Anolis sagrei: one gene and its partners. The protein of the gene in region 1 purifies or fractionates together with the protein of each later gene. This does not show direct contact. Links are inferred from orthologs where the notes say so. Each region holds a gene or a part of one and is shown in the gene's direction. Other genes may lie near its edges.

Region 1 (7,452 bases):
TTTCTAATCAATTCCAAAGTCTCACTTTTAAGAAAAATATTTTATTATATTTTGTTTTGAATTCAGGTGCTAATATGGCTTCTTTACCCAAATCATCTTCCTTTTCCTTTATGGTGGGTATCTACAACTGAATAAGAAACCATAAATAAATGAAGAGTTCTGAAGTGGAAAGGGCTTCTGTTTTCCCTGGTCAGTTAAAAACCAAATATTTTAATTTTGACTCTTGGACCCTTCCCTGTTTGTTACTAGACCTCTCATTATTGGAGCGTTTCAATTCATCCTTCTTGAAAGCACACTCTACACGCTTATTCCAAAATGAGTTCAATTACATTTGATGGATCTTAGTTCCTTCCCAGTTTGGTGTCCTGTTGGACTAACAACTCCATCGTTCCCATTTGCCATGACTATGTTTATCTGGCGTAATGGGAGCTGATGTAGTAGTTTGGGGTGTTGTGCTTAAGACTAGGGTTTGAACCTTTGCTTTACCTAGAAACTCAGTAAGGTTCTTGGGCAACTCACACTCTCTCAATCTTGGAGGAAGGAAAAGGAAAACCCTCTCTGGACAAGTCTTTCCAAGAAAAAACAGTAGAAGTCGAAAATTATTTGAAGGTACAAAACAATAGCAATAAGGTTGGTGGAAGACTGCAAGCAAGCATGTTTTGAACTGCGGCCTGAAACACATAAAGGAAACTACGACAAATTTGGTGAACTGGATCCATTTACTTGTGGACTCAGAACAGTTTTTTTTAATTGTGTCAGAAGTGAATTGAGAATATACTGCAAGTCGCTTCTGGTGTAAGAGAACTGGCCGTCTGCAAGGATGTTGCCCTGGGAAGGCCCGGCTGTGTCACCATCCTATGGGAGGCTTTTCTCTTGTCCCTGCATGTGAAGCTGGGGCTGACAGACAGGAGCTCACTCCAACTTGCAGATTCGAACTGCCAACCTTCAGATCTTCAAGTCAGTTGGCACAAGGGTTTAACCCATTGCGCAACCACGGCTCCCACTCAGAACAGTATCTAGCAAGAAGGGCAGAGAGTGCATGCCAGGTATTGCATTTCTCCCCTTCTTCCAAATTCCTGACATCTCCACTCTCCAGGAATAGAATGCTGGGTGTGCCAGTTTCCAATGGGACTTCCTCTTCACCAGAGATTGGCCAAGTTCCTCTTTGAGCTACAGCTACCACTAGACCTTCTCTAGAAAGTAACTTTGCGGAGGCCTCAACATATTGCGACCCACTGGCACAGTGGTCTTAGGTGTATTTCATGAAGTCATAGAGTTGAAAGAGGCCACAAAGGCCATCCAGTCCAACCCATTCTGTCACGAAGGAACATATAATGAAAGCACCCCTGACAGATCGCCATTCAGCCTCTGCTTAAAAACCTGCAGAGAATGAAACTCCACCACTCTCTGAGAAGGCAGCATATTCCATTGCCCATCACTTCCTATTAGGACACATAAATAAATTCCCATTGAGCTTGGTAGGACAACTCTGCCACATGAACAATACTAAAGACAATTCTTATTTTATCCTTTCTTTCTTAAAAAGTAGAACGATGCCAAATTGATGGTGCCTTTTCCAATCTGTGCTCCAAATGGATCTGTCTGTCCAAAGTCACTTGCAAAGATCTCTCCCACATCAAAGAAAACAGACTCTCAGGCAGAGAAGTTGCAACGTTTTCCTCCTTGGATCTTATGCTTGAGGAAATGACCTCCCCCCACGCTCTGCCATCAAACCACATCTTGTTTTTATTTCAGTGGCCCTCGGTATCTACTGGGATTTGGTTCCTATTATATACAACTCACATTATAAACAGGGTAGCCAAAAGTCATAAAGAGGGTTACATATTTAATAACACCATAGAAAAGGCAAAGGTTTCCCCTGACATTAAGTCTAGTCATGTCCGACTCTGGGGGATGGTGCTCCATTTCCATTTCTAAGCCAAAGAGCTGGCGTTGTCTTTGGTCGGCATGATTGCATGGAGCGCCGTTACCTTCCCGCAGAAGAAGTACCTATTGATATATTCACATTTGCATGTTTTTTTTAACTGCTAGGTTGGCAGAAGCAGGAGCTCACCCTGCTCCTCAGATTCAAACCACCAACCTTTCAGTCAGCAAGTTCAGCAGCTCAGCGGTTTAACCTGCTGCACCATCAGGGGACCCCTATCATTCACATATGAAAAATGCATTACATGATGTGGCCCACCCTATGCAATGATATTGGTGTCCATTAAAATGCAAAAACCAAGCTTGGATATACATTTTTGGTCAGATCTATGGATGCAGAACCTGTGGATATTTGGGGGCGGGGCAGATAAGGTAGCAAAATAATGTCTAAATGATAGACAAATGCAAAGACAAAGGTTGGAATAAAATAATATATTTATTTATTTATTATTTGAACTTATATGCCGCCACTCCCCTGGGGCTCGGAGCGGCTTACAAGAACAGGCTAAAATCGAACACAAAAAATTAAACATTGCAACCTTGAATTTTGGAATCATACACCCATATTTCCACCTTGATTTTTGGAATAATTGAATTGAAATATATGTACACACACACACACACACACATTCCCACTTTGATTTTTGGAATATTTGAATATGTATAAACATGAAAGGTTGCAGGTTTGAATCTGGGGAGCGGGGTGAGCTCCCACTGTTAGCCCCATCTTCTGCCAACCTAACAGTTCGAAAACTTGGAAGTGTGAGTAGAGCAATAGGTACCACTCCATGCGGTCATGCCGGCCACATGACTGTAGAGGTATCTACAGACAACGCCAGTTCTTTGGCTTAGAAATGGAAATGAGCACCACCCCCCAGAGTCAGATACGACTCTATCTATCTATCTATCTATCTATCTATCTATCTATCTATCTATCTGATATGTACATACATACATACATACATACATATAAAACATGCATATTCAATTATTCCAAAAACTCAAGGTGGGAACTTGTATGCGTGTACATACACACACAGCATGATTTTTGGAAGAAGTGAATGTGATACACACACACATACCCAACCTTGAGTCTTGATTTTTTGCATTTGTAGATAATGGACACTATTATACTATCCTATACAGAATGGAATAGTGGCAAGCTGAGGAGAGTTGCAAGTAATGACAGTGGTCGCAGGTTTGAATCCGGGGAGTGTGGTGAGCTCCTGCTGTTAATCCCAGCTTCTGCCAACCTAGCAGTTTGAAAACATGCACATATGAGTAGATCAATAGGTACCGCTCCATGCAGTCATGCCGGCCATATGACCTTGGAGGTGTCTATGGACAATGCTGGCTCTTCAGCTTAGAAATGGAGATGAGCACCACCCCCCAGAGTCAGACACGACTGGACTTAAGGTCAGGAGAAAACCTTCACCTTTACCTATCTATCTACCTATCTATATATAAACGTGCATATTCAATTAGTCCAAAAAATCAAGGAGTGGGTGTGTTGAATAACGCATATTCAATTATTCCAAAAATCAAGGTGGGAATTTGTATCCGTGTATACACACACACACACACACACACATGCTGGCACACACACATACACACCTTGATTTTTGGAATAAGTGAATGTGATATACACACACATACCAAACATTGAGTCTTGATTTTTTGCATTTGTAGATAATAGACACTATTATACTATCCTATACAGAATGGATACACACACACACATACACACACACATGCTGGCACACACACACACACCTTGATTTTTGGAATAAGTGAATGTGATACACATATACAGACATTCCCAAACTGAGTGGGTGTGTATACATATAACGCATATTCAATTATTCCAAAAATCAAGGTGGGAATTTGTATGTGTGTATACACACACACATGCTGGCACATACACACACACACCCCTTGATTTTTGGAATAAGTGAATGTGATACACACACACACATACCAAACCTTGAGTCTTGATTTTTTGCATTTGTAGATAATGGACACTATTATACTATCCTATACAGAATGGATATATATAGATATATATAGATATATATATATATATACACACACACACACCTTGATTTTTGGAATAAGTGAATGTGATACACATATACAGACATTCCCAACCTTGAGTCTTGATTTTTTGCATTTGTAGATAATGGACACTATTATACGATCCTATAAGTGGCAATCCGCGGAGAGTTGAGCCCGTGCGGGTTCAGAGACCTCGGAGGCGGTGTCCCGGGACGGGAGGCGTCGCCAAGAGCTGGGGAGCCTCCCCCTTGGGCCAGCCCTCTGCGCAGGCGCAGTAGAGGCGCGCCGGGCTCCTTGGGCGTCCCTCCTTCTGCAAGGAAAGGAAGGAGGGAAGGCTTGAGGAAAGCAGGAGGGAGGCGGGCGGCGCGTGCGGGCCCGTGACGTGTGGCGGTTGCCATGGGACGCGCCGCCCCTATAAAGACCCGCGCGCCAAGGCACTTTCCCAACAAAGTCCAGAGAGGAGGAGAGCAAAGAGGAGAAGGAAGAGGAGGAAGAGAAAGGGAAGGAGGCAGCGTGAAACCTTGGGAGGAAAGGAAAGAGCAAGGGAGAGGGAAGGACGAAAGAGAGGGTTTAGAGAGAGGCGGCTCCCCTTCCCTCCCTCGCTCCCTCCCTGCGTGGACTCGGGGCTTTGGGAGCTTTCATGAAACGCCTGGTGGCCTGGGACCAGGCATGCCTCCCTCTCCCGCCCTCGGCCTTTAAATCCATGGAAGTGGCCAACCTCTACTACGAGACGGACTGTCTGCCGGCGGCCGTGAGCAAGCTGCACGCGCGGGGAGGGCCCGTGGGGGCCCCGCGGCCCATGTCCGAGCTGAGCCTGGGCGAGCACGAGCGGGCCATCGACTTCAGCCCTTACCTGGACCCGCTGGCCTCGCAGCACCCGCACCAGCACGCGCCTCCTCCACCCGCGGCCACGGCAGGGGGCAACTTCGAGCCGCTTCCCTCCGGCAACAACCACAACAGCAGCAGCAGCAGCAACCCGGACTTCCTCTCCGACCTTTTCTCCGAGCAGGACTACAAAGCCGGGAAGAAGCAGCAGCACCAGCAGCAGCAGCAGCAGCACCCCGACTACACCTACATCAGCCTGGCCAAGCATAGCCACCACCCGCACCTCCACCAGGGCCAGAAGGCCTCTCTCTTGGGCTGCTTCTCGCCTCACATGGTGGAGACCAAAGTGGAGCCCGTCTTCGAGCACTTGGACTCGTGCAAAGCCGGCCCGCGCAAGGAGGACGCCGGCGGGGGAGGCGCGGCGGCCCTCGGGGGCCTCTCCTCGCCTTACGGCAGCGCCGTCCGCTCCTACTTGGGCTACCAGTCGGTGCCCAGCGGGAGCAGCGGGAACCTTTCCACCGCCTCTTCCTCCAGCCCGCCGGGGACCCCCAACCCTTCGGATTCCTCCAAGTCCGGAGGCAACCACTACGCGGCCTCGGGAGGAGGGAGCAACGGCGGCGGCGGGAAGAGCAAGTCCAAGAAGTCCCTGGACAAGCACAGCGAGGAGTACAAGATCCGGCGCGAGCGCAACAACATCGCCGTCCGCAAGAGCCGCGACAAGGCCAAGATGCGCAACCTGGAGACGCAGCACAAGGTGCTCGAGCTCACCGCCGAGAACGAGCGGCTCCAGAAGAAGGTCGAGCAGCTCTCCCGGGAGCTCGGCACCCTCCGGAACTTGTTCAAGCAGCTCCCCGAGCCCCTCTTGGCCAACGCCGGGCACTGCTAGCCCGCGGAGACTCGGCCTCCCTTTGGACTCCCTGCTGGGAAAGGGATTGGGGAGAGGAGGGGGGGGGGCAAAGGATGCCAAAAAGAGAAGCCAAAAGGGCTCTTCCTCCTCCAGAGTGGAATGCAGAAACAGAGGCTGGAGGGCCATCTGTCGGGGGTGCTTTGAATGCCATTTTCCTGCTTCTTGGCAGGGGGTTGGACTGGGTGGCCCATGAGGGCTCTTCCAACTCTGTGATTCTATGGAAAAGTTTGGGGTTTGTGGATTTGTTGTGTTGCCTTTCTTCCTGCCTTCCCTTCTTCTCCAAGGAGGCCTCCTTTAGACTACTTTCTCAAACTCTTCCCGGCCCAGCATGTTGGACTTCAGCGCCCAAATTCCCCGCACATTAGTCCTGGGAGCTGAAGTCCAAAGCGCATGGCAGAGAGAAGGTGATAGTATGATAGCTGGGTCCGAAGCTCTGAGCCTTACGCTGTTTCTGCTCCTTTGGGAGCACTGTTTGCGCAACGCAGAACAAACACAGATATTATAGAAGGAATGTAAGAGTTCTTTAATGGTAAAACCCTAACCCTTATGCAAAACCTTACCCTTACCCCTAATCCTAGCCCAAACCCTAATCCTAACCCAAACCCTAAACCTTACCCTAAGCCTAGCTCCTAACCCCTAATCCTAACCCTACCCCAAACCCTAACCCGAAACCTTATCCTAACTCTCCCCTCCTTTCTGTCCTTCCACCAAATGCAACTACTAAGTATATTCCCAGCGTCAGTGTTCTGCTCTCCCCTTCCCTTATCCGCATCCGCCATTGCGGAATGTGCACAATGCTCAGAGCTTCCGGACCCAGCTATCATACTATCACCAAGAGAAGTTTGTACATTGTGGAATTGATTCAGTTCAATGTGTTGTCAAAGGCTTTCGTGGCCAGAATCACTGGGGCCCCTTCCACACAGCTGAATAAGATCCCACGCTATCTGCTTTGAACTGGATATATGGAAGTGTGGACTCAAATAACCCAGTTCAAAGCAGATATTGTGGGTTATTCTGCCTTGATATTATGGGAGATAAGGCTGTGTGGAAGGGCCCTGGGTTGCTGGGTTGCTTTCCCAGGCTGTATGGCCATGTTCCAGAAGCATTCTCTCCTGACATTTCGCCTGCATCTATGGCAGGCATCCTCAGAGGTGGTGAGACCTCTGGAACATGACCGTTCAGTCCGGAAAACTCACAACAACCCAGTGGTTCAGTTCAGTTGGAGACCACTTTTGACTGCCATGGCTCGATGCTGCTAGAACCTGGGAGCTGCAGTTTCCCAAGGTCTGCCAAAGAGGAGATTAGCACCTTAGGGAGTTGAGCATGTATCAGGCCAACTTGAGCCTGCCAGGTGTTTTGGACTTCACCTCCCACAATTCCTAACAGCCTCAGGCCCCTTCCTTTTCCCCCTCAGCTGCTTAAGCGGCTGAGGGGGAAAAGGAAAGGACCAGAGGCTGTTAGGAATTGTGGGGCTTGAAGTCCAAAACACCTGGAGGGCCCAAGTTGGCCCATACCTGATCTACACACTGTAGAACTAATAATAATAATAATAACAACAATAGCAATAATAACTTTTATTTGCTATCTGCCTCTCCTCACAGCTTGAGGCAAGTAAAGACAGTGGAGTTTCCATCTCTGGAGGGTTTGGATGGCCATCTATCAGGAGTGCTTTGGTTTATGGCAAGGAGTTTGAACTGCATAGTTTTTGTGGTCTCTTAACC
Region 2 (7,065 bases), on another chromosome or scaffold:
GTCTTAGCATTGTCGGAAGGAGGACGTGGCCTTCCTGCATTACTCAGAGAAAGGTAGAGCAAATGAACTGGAAATCCCATTCATTCTCTTTCTCTGCTTAATGGGGTTGGGATGTTGTGAGAGACTAAGCCAGCAAAATGGGAAGGGCTGTAGTTAATATTGTGGTTGAGGTCACACATTCTGTCTTAACCATGTGCACATCAGTTTGGAAAAGCCCTTGGCATGAAACCTTGGAGAGCCACCATACCTGGATAGAAATACTATTGCTGAGTTGACATAAGGCAGTTCCCAGAATCTGTATAGGACAGATACTTTGACCTGCTTGCCTTGGGTTTACTCACAACTTAAATGACTTACAGATATTAAATTAATATCAAACAACCCTAAGCTACAAGTTTGGGTAACGCTACAAGGTAAAGGTAAAGGCTTCCCCTGACATTAAGTCTAGTCATATCCGACTCTGGGGGGTGATGCTCATCTCCATTTCTAAGCCAAAGAGCTGGTGTTGTCTGTAGACACCTCCAAGGTCATGTGGCCAGCATGACTATATGGTATCTATTGATCTACTCACAATTGCATGTTTTCGACCTCCAAGGTTGGCAGAAGCTGGACCTCAAAGCGGGAACTCACCTCACTCCCCCGATCCGAACTACCAACCTTTCAGTCAGCAAGTTCAGCAGCTCAGTGGTTTAACCTGTTGCGCCACAAGGGGCCCTTTGCTACAATGGGACCCCTTAAAATTGGAATACTTTAGGGCAGCAGTTCCCAAACTATGTTCCATGGAGTCTTAGGGTTCCAACAAAGCATTATTATTATTATTATTATTATTATTTACATTTCTACCCAGAGCAGCTTACACTGGCAACAGTTTGATACTGCAACAATATGACAACTATAACAGCAATATAAACAATAAATAAAACAATATAATTTAAAACAGTTAAAACATTATTATCATAATCATATAGCCATTTATATCATTATCACAACCATGTAGTCCAGTTCGACATCCAAGGTGCTGTCACGCCTGCTGGCCAAAAGCCTGGTTCCAAAACCATGATTTTAATTTCTTCCTAAAGGAAAGGAGGGATGAAGCCGACCTGATCTCACTGGGGAACGAATTCCACAGGCAGGGGGTCATCACCGAGAAGGCCCTGTCCCTCGTCCCTACCAAATGCGTTTGCAAAGCTGGTAAGACCGAGAGCAGGGCCTCCCCTGACGATCTTAAACTACAAGGCGGAACGTAGAGAGAGATACGTTTGGATAAGTAAGCTGGGCCGGAGCCATATCCAAAAATATTTCAAATCTTTAAAAAATATATTTAAAAATCTTTGCCAGAATACGAAGATCTTATTTCAATTCAATATACCTCTGCTGTAAAAGTGAAATTTGGATCTCTTAGTTTTCAAACCTACAATATACAAAACAACCAGATAACAGGAGTAGATGAAACAAAGAAGCACTTTGTGGGTTCACAGTGCTTAGGCACAGAGTTATGGTTCTGCAGGAAAATCAGGGTTCTGTGGGGGAAAACATTTTCTGAATGGTTCCATGACCAAAAAAAAGTTTGGGAATTGCTGCTGTGGGACATCTTGATTTCAGCTCTGTGATCCATCCTATCCTTGCCATTGGAGGGGCAGTGAAATGGCAAAGGCAGTTCTTTGTGCCAAGGGCAACTTCTCTTTTATGCAGTGACATTTCTTCTGGGTGACATGGCAACAGGGATTGGGCCAAGCAGCAAACTCAGTTCCCTCCAGCTGAGAAGGAAATAAAATGGGAAGTCTTTCAGAGCAAGGAGAGCAAGAAACTACCACCTAATCTTGCAAGCCATCTCTCACTCACCTCTGCCCTGAGGAGACTAAAGTGACAACTTCCTCCTTTCTCTTGTATTCTCTCTGTCTTGGGTCACAGTACAGAGAATTTGGGTAGATCTTGGAAGATTAAGTTAGGAGACAATTCTGAGAAAACCCTATTCAGCAAGGGCCAAAGGCCCAGAACAGGCATGTAGCCGGCCCGGGGGGGGGGGGGGCTTGAGGATTACCTGGGAAGGAATCCCACTGGAGCACTGCAGCACATCCAAATACCTGGGAGTCACCCTGGACCGTGCTCTGACCTACAAGAAGCACTGCCTGAATATCAACCAAAAGTGGGCGCTAGAAACAATATCATACGAAAGCTGACTGGCACAACCTGGGGATCACAACCAGACACAGTGAAGACATCTGCTTTTGTGCTATGCTACTCTGCTGCTGAGTACGCATGCCCAGTGTGGAACACTTCTCACCACACTAAAACAGTAGATGTGACTCTTAATGAGACATGCCGCATTATCACGGAGTGTCTGCGCCCTACACCACTGGAGAAATTACACTGCTTAGCTGGTATTGCACCACCTGATATCCGCCGGGAAGTAGCAGCCAATAGTGAAAGGACCAAGGCAGTGACATCTCCAGCTCATCCCTTCTTTGGGTATAGCCAGGACGTCAATGACTTAAATCAAGAAATATTCTAAGATCTACAGAGACATTCGCTGGAACACCTCAGCAAGTGAAAGTCCAAAAGTCACAGGCTCAAACCCAGAACCTTAACCACTGGCTGATACCAAATTAGAGACTCCCCCCTGGACACACAGAAGACTGGGCAACTTGGAAGGTGCTGAACAGACTGCGCTCTGGCAATCTTAAGAAATGGGGCTACAAAGTGGAATCCATGACATGCGAGTGTGGACAAGAGCAAACCACAGACCACCTGCTGCAATGCACCCTGAGCCCTGCCATATGCACAATGGAGGACCTCCTTGCGGCAACACCAGAGGCCACCTTACTTGGATCTGTGTGCATCATTCGGAAATACATCATTTGCTGTGACATACTGTATTTTTGTGTCAGTAAAATAATAGTAGTAATAATAATAATAACAATAATAATAATAATACCCACCAAACTCTTCCAGTGTGTTCTGTTGGTCATGGAAGTCATGGAAGTCCTGTATGCCATGTTTGGTTCAATTCCACCATTGGTGGAGTTCAGAATGCTCTTTGATTGCAGGTGAACTATAAATCCCAGCAACTACAACTCCCAAATGTCAAGGTCTATTTCCCTTAAACTCCATCAAGGTCAATGCCCACCAAACCCTTCCAGTGTGTTCTGTTGGTCATGGAAGTCCTGTATGCCATGTTTGGTTCAACTATAAATTCCAGTAACTACAAATCCCAAATGTCAAGGTCTATTTCCCCCGAACTCCATCTGTGTTCATATTTGGGCATATCGAGAATTCGTGCCAAGTTTGGTCCAGATCCATCATTGTTTGAGTCCACAGTGCTCTCTGGATGTAGGTGAACTACAACTCCCAAACTCAAGGTCAATGTCCACCAAACCCTTCCAGTTTTTTCTGTTGGTCATGGGAGCCCTGTGTGCTAAGTTTGGCCCAATTCCATCATTGGTGGAGTTCAGAATGCTCTTTGATTGCAGGTAAACTATAAATCCCAGCAACTACAACTCTCAAATGACAAAATCATTTTTTTTGAGTGGAGGACATACATTGGGTTGTTAGGTGTCTTGTGTCCAAATTTGGTGTCAATTCCCCCAGTGGTTTTTGAGTTTATATAGATTATATAGTATTGTATTATTATTATTATTATTATTATTATTATTATTAGGCTCCACAAGGGGATGGGATGGCTACCTAGGTGCACATGAAAGCCCTTCTCCCACTGCCTAGCCCACTCATCCCTATGTGTTCCTCTCAGCCAATCAGGAGCAGCCTAAGGATTCCAAACAGTCAGACACACACGCCCCCGCCCTCCGGGGCGAAGACAACAGCAGCGCTGCCGACGTCACACACTGCCCGGAACTCAGCTGGCTTTCCAGAAGAGCAGCGGGAGGAGGAAGCCGAGCCCGGAACAGCCCGGTGAAGAGTGAAAGCGGAGGCGCGCGCTGATTGGCCGCCGGAGAGCGCCCCCTGCCGAAGAACCCTCAGAGCGCGGCGGCGATTGGCCGGCTTCGATCAGTGTCGCCGCCGAGGGGGCGGGACTCCCCGGGAGCCAGCAGCTGGGGCAGGGCTTGGAGAGTGAGCCAGGCGGCGCTGGGGAAGGAGAGCCAGCGGAAGGGAAGTTCGGTCCCGGCGGAGGGGATTGGAAAGGTAGGCTGGAGAGGAGGCAAAGCATGTGCAGAGTGCAAACCTCTGAGATTGCTGCTCCTCTGCAACGAGGGGCATGGCTTCCAGGAAAGCTTGGAGGGACTTTCCCGTCAGTTTGAGGGCTGGGAACGGGAACACAGGAAGGAAACACGTTGCGGGAGGGAGGAGGTGGGTTTGCTGAGGGAGGGTGGGATTTGGAGTTTCCTAAGTACTACCAAACTTAACTATGGCATGCCTGATCTGCACTGTAGAAGGAATGCAGTTTGACATCACTTGATATTATTATTATTATTATGCTATAGAACAGGCATGTGCAAACTTGGGCCCTCCAGGTGTTTTGGACTCCAACTCCCAGAATTCCTAACAGCCGGGAGTTGGAGTCCAAAACACCTGGAGAGCCCAAGTTTGCCCATGCCTGGTAAAACAATACAGTATGCAGTTGTTGTTGTTGTTATTATTATTATTACTATTATTATCTGATACACAACAAGATTAGTACACAGCAAACAAGATCCCATTATTATTATTACTATTATTAGAATGCTATAGAACAGGCATGGGCAAACTTGGGCTCTCCGGGTGTTTTGGACTCCCAACTCCCAGAATTCCTAACAGCCTACCGGAGTCCAAAACACCTGGAGGGCCCAAGTTTGCCCATGCCTGGTAAAACAATACAATATACAGTTATCATTATTATTATTATCTGATACACAATAATATTAGTACACAGAAAACAAGATCACTATGTTGGCTTGTCTATTTGATCACATATCAGACATTATTGTTGTTGTTATTATGCTTATTATGCCTTCTATAGAATCACGAGAGCTGTTGTTGTCGTCATTATTATTATTATTATTATTATTATTGGTTGCTGGGAGTTTTCCAAACTGTCTGGCCATGTTCCAGAAGCATTCTCTCCTGATGTTTCACCTGCATCTATGGCAAGCATTCTCAGAGGTTGTGAGGCTTGTTCGAAACTAAGAAAGTGGGTTTTATATCCTCAGGATGCCTGCCATAGATGCAGGCGAAACGTCAGGAGAGAGTGCTTCTGGAATGTGGCCAGACAGTCTGGAAAACTCCCAACAACCCAGTGATTCCAGGCCATGAAATACTACTACTACTAATAATAATAAAACTTTATTTATACCCCGCCACCATATCCCCAAGGAGACTCGGGGTGGCTTACATGAGGCCAAGCCCAAGGGTACAGCAAATATACAACATAAATACATACAGTAAAATATAATGAGAATAAAATACAAAACAATATAACACATTATATTATATATTATAGTTATTATATATTATGGTTATTTATTTAAAGCCTGAAAAGAGACCCAAAGCGCTAACACAGGCATGAGCAAACTTCGGCCCTCCAGATGTTTTGGACTTCAACTCCCACAATTCCTAACAGCCTACCGGCTGTTAGGAATTGTGGGAATTGAAGTCCAAAACATCTGGAGGGCCAAAGTTTGCCCATGCCTGGTAAAACAACACAATATACAGTTATTATTATTATTATTATTTTGTACTCAACACGATTAGTACACAGCAATGCTGGGTTTTGCATTGGATCACACATCAGATATTATTATTATTATTATTATTATTTATACCTTGCTGATTCTCTCCCCAAGGTGACTCAAAGCGGCTAAAAACACAGGTAAAGGTAAAGGTTTTCCCCTGATATTAAGTCCAGTTGTGTCCAACTCTGGAGGGTGGTGCCCATCTCCATTTCTAAGCCGAAGAGTCAGCGTTGTCCATAGACACCTTCAAGGTCATGTGGCCTGCATGACTGCATGGAGCACCGTCATCTTCCTGCCGAAGTGGTACCTACTGATCTGCTCACATTTGCATGTTTTCAAACTGCTAGGTTGACAGAAGCTGGGGCTAACATTGGTAGCTCATGCTGCTCCCCAGATTTGAACTTGTGACCTTTTGGTCAGCAAGTTCAGCAGCTCAGTGGTTTAACCCACTAAACACTAAAATACGATTAAACATCACAACTACTTAGATCAACAGTTAAAACCTATTAACATGCCTAAAAATGCTATACAGTTTAACCAGCTGTCTCCGCCAAAGAGTGATGGCATCCTACAACTCCCATGATTCCATAGTATTGAGTCATGGCGGGGAAAGTGATGTTAAACTGCATTCGTTCTACAATGTTGACATACAGTTGGCCATTGAACCCACATCTGAACCTGAAATGTTTTTTTTGTTTCATATGTACTTCATATATACTTTAAGGGGCTGCAGTGGCACAGCGGGTTAAACCGCTAAGCTGCAGAACTTGCTGATCAGAAGGTTGGCGGTTTGAATCCGCATCCAGGGTGAGCTTTCGTTGTTAGCTGTAGCTCCTGCCAACCTAGCAGTTTGAAAACATGGAATGCCAGGGCATAGTCAATGAGGGCAGTGACATTATAGTTTCCGTTTCTTTTTTCTTCTGCACTTCTGGGGGCCACGGTGGTGCAACACATTAAACCGTTGAGCTGCTGAACTTCCTGACTGGAAGGTCGGCAGTTCAAATCTGCAGACAGGATGAGCTCCTGTTGTTAGCCCCAGTTTCTGCCAACCTAGCAATTTGAAAACATGCAAATGTGAGTAGATCAATAGGTACCACCTCAATATGAAGGGAATGGTGCTCCATGCAGTCAAGCTGGCCACATAACCAATGAGGCGTCTGTGGACAATGCTGGCTCTTCGGCTTAGTAATGGAGATGAGCACCATCCCCCCAGAGTCAGGCACGACTAGACTTAATGTCAAGGGGAAATCTTAACCTTTATACTTTACACACCCACTCTGAAAGTAAATGTATACAGTATTTTCAATATTTTTCCCATGAAATAAAGTTTATGTGCATTGAACCGTCAGAATGCAAAGGTATCACTCTCTCGGCCATCCATGTGGACAATTTTGGGTTT
Region 3 (7,036 bases), on another chromosome or scaffold:
ATTATCATTAAAGTGGATATGTTTCTAATTAAGAAAAGGAAATCTGTTGATGTTTGCGATAAACCCCATGGAACAGCTATGGAGTTCCAGGAATCACCGGTAATACAGAAGTGTAAAGGAGAAATGTCCAAAATTTGGATGATATGAAACATACATTATATATACAATTTATATTTTATAGCATATGCACATATATATTATAATACATGTGTATTGCAAGAAACTCTTATAAGAGTTTGGTTTAACCCCCAGTTTGCTAGTAAAACCGACGGTGTCGCAAAAGGATGCATCTCAGAATGTGGAAAGTTTTGATTCACACTTATGGCATCACTCTCCTAGTTTTTCTGGCAAGATTTACCCCAAGGAGGTTTGTCATTTCCTTCCTCACCTTAAGTCTGAGAGAGTGGGATTTACCCAAAGGCAACCAGTAGATTCCCAAGGCTGAGCAGGAACCGGAATCCAGTGCTCAGAACCATTGCGCTAGGCTGGCTTTCTCATGCTGCGTCATGCCAGATATTATTTTATTTGTCACTCACCACTCCTCACTACTTGAGGAAGGCCACAGCAGTTAAAACATCTCACACAGAGAGACAGATACACACACACACATATGAAAGAAAATGATATAAAGACATCCAATAATGATTGGATGTCAATATAAAATTATTGGTTTAATATTGGGTAGGCGTTTTATGAGCATTTAGGGGTGTCCCTTATTTCACAAATAACCTTTCAGAAGGATGCAATTGGGCATTTCTTTCTTATCGTGTCAGGAGCGAACCCAACAGTTGTACTGCATTAAAAACAAAACACAAAATTTGTAAACTTGGTATTCTATTAAATGTCCTTTGACCATAATCTGGCCACTTGGAGTGCCTCTGGTGTTGCTGTGAGAAGGTCCTCCATTGTGCCTGTGGCAGGGCTCAGGTTGCATTGCAGCAGGTGGTCAGTGGTTTGCTCTTCTCCACACTCGCATGTCGTGGATTCCACTTTGTGGCCCCATTTCCGAAGGCTGGCTCTGCATCTCGTGAAACAATATCATACGAAAGCTGACTGGCACAACCTGGTGATCACAACCAGACACAGTGAAGACATCTGCCCTTGCGCTGTGCTACTCTGCTGCTGAGTACGCATGCCCAGTGTGGAACACATCTCACCACGCTAGAACAGTGGGTGTGGCTCTTAATGAGACATGCCGCATTATCATGTGGTGTCTGCGCCCCACACGACTGGAGAAATTATACTGTTTAGGTGGTTTTGCAACACCTGACATCTGCCGGGAAGTAGCAGCCAATAGTGAAAGGACCAAGGCAGCTCATTCCTTGTTTGGGTATCAGCCAGCATGTCGACGACTTAAATCTAGACATAGTTTTCTTAGATCTACAGAGACACTCGCTGGAACACCCCAGCAAGCAAAAGTCATAGAATCATAGAATCAAAGAGTTGGAAGAGACCTCATGGGCCATCCAGTCCAACCCCATTATGCCAAGAAGCAGGAATATTGCATTCAAATCACACCTGACAGATGGCCATCCAGCCTCTGCTTAAAAGCTTCCAAAGAAGGAGCCTCCACCACACTCCGGGGCAGAGAGTTCCACTGCTGAACGGCTCTCACAGTCAGGAAGTTCTTCCTCATGTTCAGATGGAATCTCCTCTCTTGTAGTTTGAAGCCCTTGCTCCATTGTGTCCTAGTCTCCATGGAAGCAGAAAACAAGCTTGCTCCCTCCTCCCTGTGGCTTCCTCTCACATATTTATACATGGCTATCATATCTCCTCTCAGCCTTCTCTTCTTCAGGCTAAACATGCCCAGCTCCTTAAGCCGCTCCTCATAGGGCTTGTTCTCCAGACCCTTGATCATTTTAGTCGCCCTCCTCTGGACACATTCCAGCTTGTCAATATCTCTCTTGAATTGTGGTGCCCAGAATTGGACACAATATTCCAGGTGTGGTCTAACCAAAGCAGAATAGAGCATGGGGAGCATTACTTCCCTAGATCTAGACACTATGCTCCTCTTGATGCAGGCCAAAATCCCATTGCCTTTTTTTGCCGCCACATCACACTGTTGGCTCATGTTTAACTTGTTGTCCACGAGGATTCCAAGATCTTTTTCACACGTACTGCTCTCGAGCCAGGCATCACCCATTCTGTATCTTTGCATTTCATTTTTTCTGCCAAAGTGGAGTATCTTGCATTTGTCACTGTTGAACTTCATTTTGTTAGTTTTGTCCCATCTCTCTAATCTGTCAAGATCGTTTTGAATTCTGCTCCTGTCCTCTGGACTATTGGCTATCCCTCCCAAGTCCAAAAGTGGCAGGCCCAAACCCAGCACCTCAACCAATGGCTGATCCCAAATGAGAGACTCCCCCTTCCTGGGCACACTGAGGACTGGGCGACCTGGAAGGCACTGAACAGACTGCGCTCTGGCACCACAAGATGCAGAGCCAACCTTCAGAAATGGGGCCACAAAGTGGAATCCTCGATATGCGAGTGTGGAGAGGAGCAAACCACTGACCACCTGCTGCAATGCACCCTGAGCCCTGCCACATGCACAATGGAGGACCTTCTTGAGGCAACACCAGAGGCACTCCAAGGGGCCAGAGACTGGTCAAAAGACATTAAATCAACTACCAAACTCGCAAATTTTGTATTTTGTCTGTTTGCTTTGTTCTGTTAGAAATGTAATATAATGGACTGGCTGCCCTGACACGAAATAAATAAATCACTACTATTTGCGTTATTGTTCACTATTATATCACTATTATATGCACTATTGTTCACTATTATATCACTATTGTTCTTTGACTAGGTTGTCTCTTATTTTGTATGTATATATATGTATGTATGTATCTCAATCTCCCTATAGAGACACCTGTGAGAGTCTTCTCCTCCTTCTGCCTTTTTGGTCCTCCTCCTCCTCCTCCTTCAGGCCTGCCTTTTTCCCGCCAAATGTGTCCTGGACAGGTCAAGCGGAAATGTCCACTCTGGGTCACTTCCTGTGCGGCCACTCCTTCCGCCGCGCCCGCCTTGCTCTCGTCTCCTCTCCGGGGAAAGACACAAAAGCGACCCTCTCGGTGGCCCTCTCTCCCTCACAACCAGGCCTTCCCCGCTTGGCTTCCCCTCGCGCATGCGCGGATGGAGGAGAGAGAGCCACACAAAGGCGAGGGGAGGGGTTGATACGCATGCGCGAGCGAGGCCCAGCACACTAAAACTCCCGATGTTAAGTACGCATGCGCGAGCGAGGCTCAGAGTACGAAAAAAAGTGCAGGCGATGTCGTGTACGCATGCGCGAGTGAGGCCCAAAACAAAAAATAATCTGGTGGTGTTGAGTACGCATGCGCAAGCGAGTCCCAGCGAACAAAAAAAAGTGCTGGAGATATTGTGTACGCATGCGCGATTGAGACCCAAAACACAATAAAGTCTGGCGATGTTGAGCACGCATGCGCGAATGAGGCTCAGAAAGAAAAAAAAGTATCGATGTTGTGTACGCATGCGCGAGTGAGGCCCATAAAGAAAAAAATGTGCTGATAATGTTGTATACGCATGCGCCAGTGAGGCCCAGAAGAAAAAAAGTATCGATGTTGTGTACGCATGCGTGAGCGAGGCCTAGAAAGGAAAAAAAATGCTCTGCTGATTTTGTGTACGCATGCGCCAGTGAGACCCAGAAAGAAAAAAAGTGTCCATGTTGTGTACGCATGCGTCAGTGAGACCTAGCAAGAAAGAAAAAGTATCGATGTTGTGTACGCATGCGCGAGCGATGCCTAGAAAGAAAAAAAATGCTGTGCTGATGTTGTATACGCATGCGTGAGTGAGGCCCAGAAGGAAAAAAAAGTGTCCATGTTGTGTACGCATGCGCGAGCGAAGCGAAAGCCTTACAAAGAAAAGAGCTTTGGTGGTCTTGTGCAGGCATGCGCAGGAGAGAAAGACTCTCCTCCCTGTCTGCGCATGCGCCCCTGTTGCGTAGGGGAAAGCCGGCGTGGGAGGGGAAGGCGGAGGCGCGTCGCGAGCGCTCGGCGCCTTGAGGGGAGGGAGGGAGCGCGAGGTCGGACTGCGCGTGCGCGCGGGGCGAGAGAGAGAGAGCGAGCGAGAGATTGAGCGAGAGAGAGAGAGAGAGAGGGTGGCGGCGGCGTGGGAGGCAGGCGCGGCGGCGTCTCCTTCCCGCGGGCTCTGCGCATGCGCGGGGCCGGGAGAGAGGGAGGCGAAGGGCCCCGGCTGAGGCGGCGGTGGCGGCGGCGCAGGAGGCCGCGCGGGAGGCCCGGAAGGACCATGGCGGCCCACACCACGGCCACCGCCAACACCAACCCCACCCCCTCGGGCCAGCCAGGCTCAGCGGCAGGAGGAGGCGGAGGAGGGAGCGGAGTAGGCCCCGCTGAGGGCCCGCCCGCCTCAGGCCTCTCCTCGGCCTCCTCAGCCTCCTCGTCGTCGTCCTCCTCCTCGGGCCCTCCCGCCGTGTCGCGGCGCAAGGACGGAGGCCCCGCGGGGAAGTTCTGGGAGAGCTCCGACACCGCCGCCCAGCTCGACGCCGCACGACTCTGGCTTGGGAAGCACTGCAAGAAGGTGAGGCCTTCCTTTGTCCCCCAACTTGGGCCTTTGGACTCCAACTCCCAACATTCCTCACAGCCTCAGGACCCTTCCTTTTCCCCCTCAGACGCTTAAGCGGCTGAGGGGGGAAAGGAAAGGGCCTGAGGCTGCGAGGAATGGTGGGAGTTGGAGTCCAAAGCCCCTGAGGCGTGGCCTAGCATTATTTCTGTACCTTAGTGTCATTAATTTGGTTCCCTTTGTGTCCCTTTGAGGCTGAGAAAGTGTCACTTGGTATGTGTATGTGGGGTAGGCTTCCTTTATTTCTTTGTTTACATCTCTGACTCCTTAATTTGGTTCCCTTTGTGTCCCTCTGAGGCTGAGAGAGTGTCACTTGATATGTGTGTGGGAGGGGAAGGCTTCCTTTATTTGTTTGTTTACATTTATATGCTGGCGAAGGGGACTCAGAGTGGCTTACAAGTCATATTGGACATAAAGCATACTATATTATTTTTAAACATTCATAGAATCATAGACTCAAAGAGTTGGAAGAGACCTCGTGGGCCATCCAGTCCAACCCCATTCTGCCAAAAAAGCAGGAATATTGCATTCAAAGCACCCCTGACAGGTGGCCATCCAGCCTCTGTTTAAAAGCTTCCAAGGAAGGAGCTAGACACTATACATCTATTTATAGTGAGGAATTGTGGGAATTGGAGTCCAAAGCCCCTGAGGCCTGGTCTAGCGTTAATTCTGTGCCTTAGTGTCATTTCTGACTCATTAATTTGGTTCCATTTGTGTCCCTTTGAGGCTGAGAGAGTGTCACTTGGTATGTGTATGTGGGGAAGGCTTCCTTTGTTTGTTTTCGACATTTATATCCTGGCGAAGGGGATTCAGAGTGGTTTACAAGTCATATAGACATAAGACATACTATAGTATTATTATTAAACATACTATATATTCTTTTCTGTCTCCCTCAGGGTGAGGGAGTGTCACTTGTATGTGTGGGGAAAGGCTTCCTTTGTGTCTCTCTGAGGCTGAGAGAGTGTCACTTGATATATGTGTGTGTGAGAGAGAGAGGGGGGAAGGCTTCCTTTCTGTCCCTCTGAAGCTGAGAGAGTGTCACTTATACGTGGGGAAAGGCTTCCTTTGTATCTCTCTGAGGTTGAGAGAGTGTCACTTGTGTGAGTTAGGAAAGCCCCCTTAGTGTCCCTCTGAGGTTGAGAGATTGTCAATTGATGTGTGTGTGCCTTCAGATCCTTTCTCTTCTGTGGCCAGCCTAGAGCAGGGTTTTCTTGAACCAGTTGAATCTTTTGTGTCTCTCTTAGGCTGAGAGAGTGTCAATTCTGTGTGTGTGAGAGAGGAAGGCTCCTTTTGTGTCCCTCTAAGCCTGAGAGAGTGCCACTTCTATGTGTTATGAAGGTTCCCTTGGTGTCCCACTGAGGCTGAGAGAGTGTCACTTGTGTGTGAGGGGGAAGGCACCCTTTGTGTCCCTCTTAAGCTGAGAGAGTGTCACTTGATATGTGTGTGTGGGGAAGGTTGTCTTTGTGTTCCTCTGAGGCCGAGAGACTGTCACTTGATGTGTGTGTGTGTGAGGAGGGCTACTTTTGTGTCCCTCTTAGAATGAGAGAGTGTCACTTGATATGTGTGTGTGTGTGGGGGGGGGGGAGTTTCCATTGTGTCACTCTGAGGCTGAGAGAGTGTCACTTAATATGAGTGTGCCTTCAGGTCATTTCTCTAGCAAGCCTAGAGTAGGGTTTTCTTGAACCAATTGAGTCTTTTGTGTCACTCTTAGGCTGAGAGAGTGTCACTTGATATGTGTGTCAGGAAGGCTCCCATTGTGTCCCTCTGAGGCTGAGAGAGTGTCACTTGATATGTGTGTCAGGAAGGCTCCCTTTTTGTCCCTTTGAGGCTGAGAGAGTGTCACTTGATATATGTGTGTGGCGAAGGTTGCTTTTGTGTCCCTCTGAGGATGAGAGAGTGCCACTTCATGTCACAGGGAGGAGGGAGCAGGCTTCCTTTCTGCTTCCCAGGAGACTAAGATGCAATGGAAGAATGGCTTCAAACTACAAGAAAGGAGATTCCATCTGAACATGAGGAAGAACTTCCTGACTGTGAGATCCGTGCAGCAGTGTGTGGTGGAGGCTCCTTCTTTGGAGGATTTTAAACAGAGGCTGGATGGCCATCTGCCAGGGGTGCTTTGAATGCAATATTCCTGCCTCTTGGCAGAATGGGGTTGGATGGCCCATGAGGTCTCTTCCAACTCTAGGATTCTATGATTCTATGTATGCCTGGGGAAGGCTCCCTTTGTGTCCCTCTTAAGCTGAGAGAGTGTCATTTGATATGTGTGTGTGAGGAAGGATCCCTTTTTGTCCCTCTTAGGCTGAGAGAGTGTCACTTGATATGTGTGTGCCTTCAGGTCATTACTCTTCTGTGGCAAGCCTAGAGCATGGTTTTTTCTTGAACCAATTGATTCTTTTGTGTCCCTCTGAGGCTGAGAGAGTGTCACTTGATATCTGTGTGT

Evidence for each region.
Region 2: the proteins of CEBPB (region 1) and STAT3 purify together in Homo sapiens (affinity purification with western blotting; 3 studies listed by BioGRID, with this or other methods). This does not show direct contact. The link is inferred for Anolis sagrei from reciprocal best matches to the Homo sapiens genes CEBPB and STAT3.
Region 3: the proteins of CEBPB (region 1) and SMARCC1 purify together in Homo sapiens (affinity purification with western blotting; 3 studies listed by BioGRID, with this or other methods). This does not show direct contact. The link is inferred for Anolis sagrei from reciprocal best matches to the Homo sapiens genes CEBPB and SMARCC1.

Annotation. Positions count from the first base shown.
Region 1 is NC_090024.1:222,094,125-222,101,576, forward strand, and holds the start of CEBPB (CCAAT/enhancer-binding protein beta), read left to right. Parts: upstream 1-4,391; 5' UTR 4,392-4,639; coding exon 4,640-5,710; 3' UTR 5,711-7,452. UniProt on the Homo sapiens protein: Important transcription factor regulating the expression of genes involved in immune and inflammatory responses. Also plays a significant role in adipogenesis, as well as in the gluconeogenic pathway, liver regeneration, and hematopoiesis.
Region 2 is NC_090026.1:36,809,214-36,816,278, reverse strand, and holds the start of STAT3 (signal transducer and activator of transcription 3), read left to right. Parts: upstream 1-4,027; 5' UTR 4,028-4,140; intron 4,141-7,065. UniProt on the Homo sapiens protein: Signal transducer and transcription activator that mediates cellular responses to interleukins, KITLG/SCF, LEP and other growth factors. Once activated, recruits coactivators, such as NCOA1 or MED1, to the promoter region of the target gene.
Region 3 is NC_090026.1:130,812,381-130,819,416, forward strand, and holds the start of SMARCC1 (SWI/SNF complex subunit SMARCC1), read left to right. Parts: upstream 1-3,998; 5' UTR 3,999-4,170; coding exon 4,171-4,554; intron 4,555-7,036. UniProt on the Homo sapiens protein: Involved in transcriptional activation and repression of select genes by chromatin remodeling (alteration of DNA-nucleosome topology).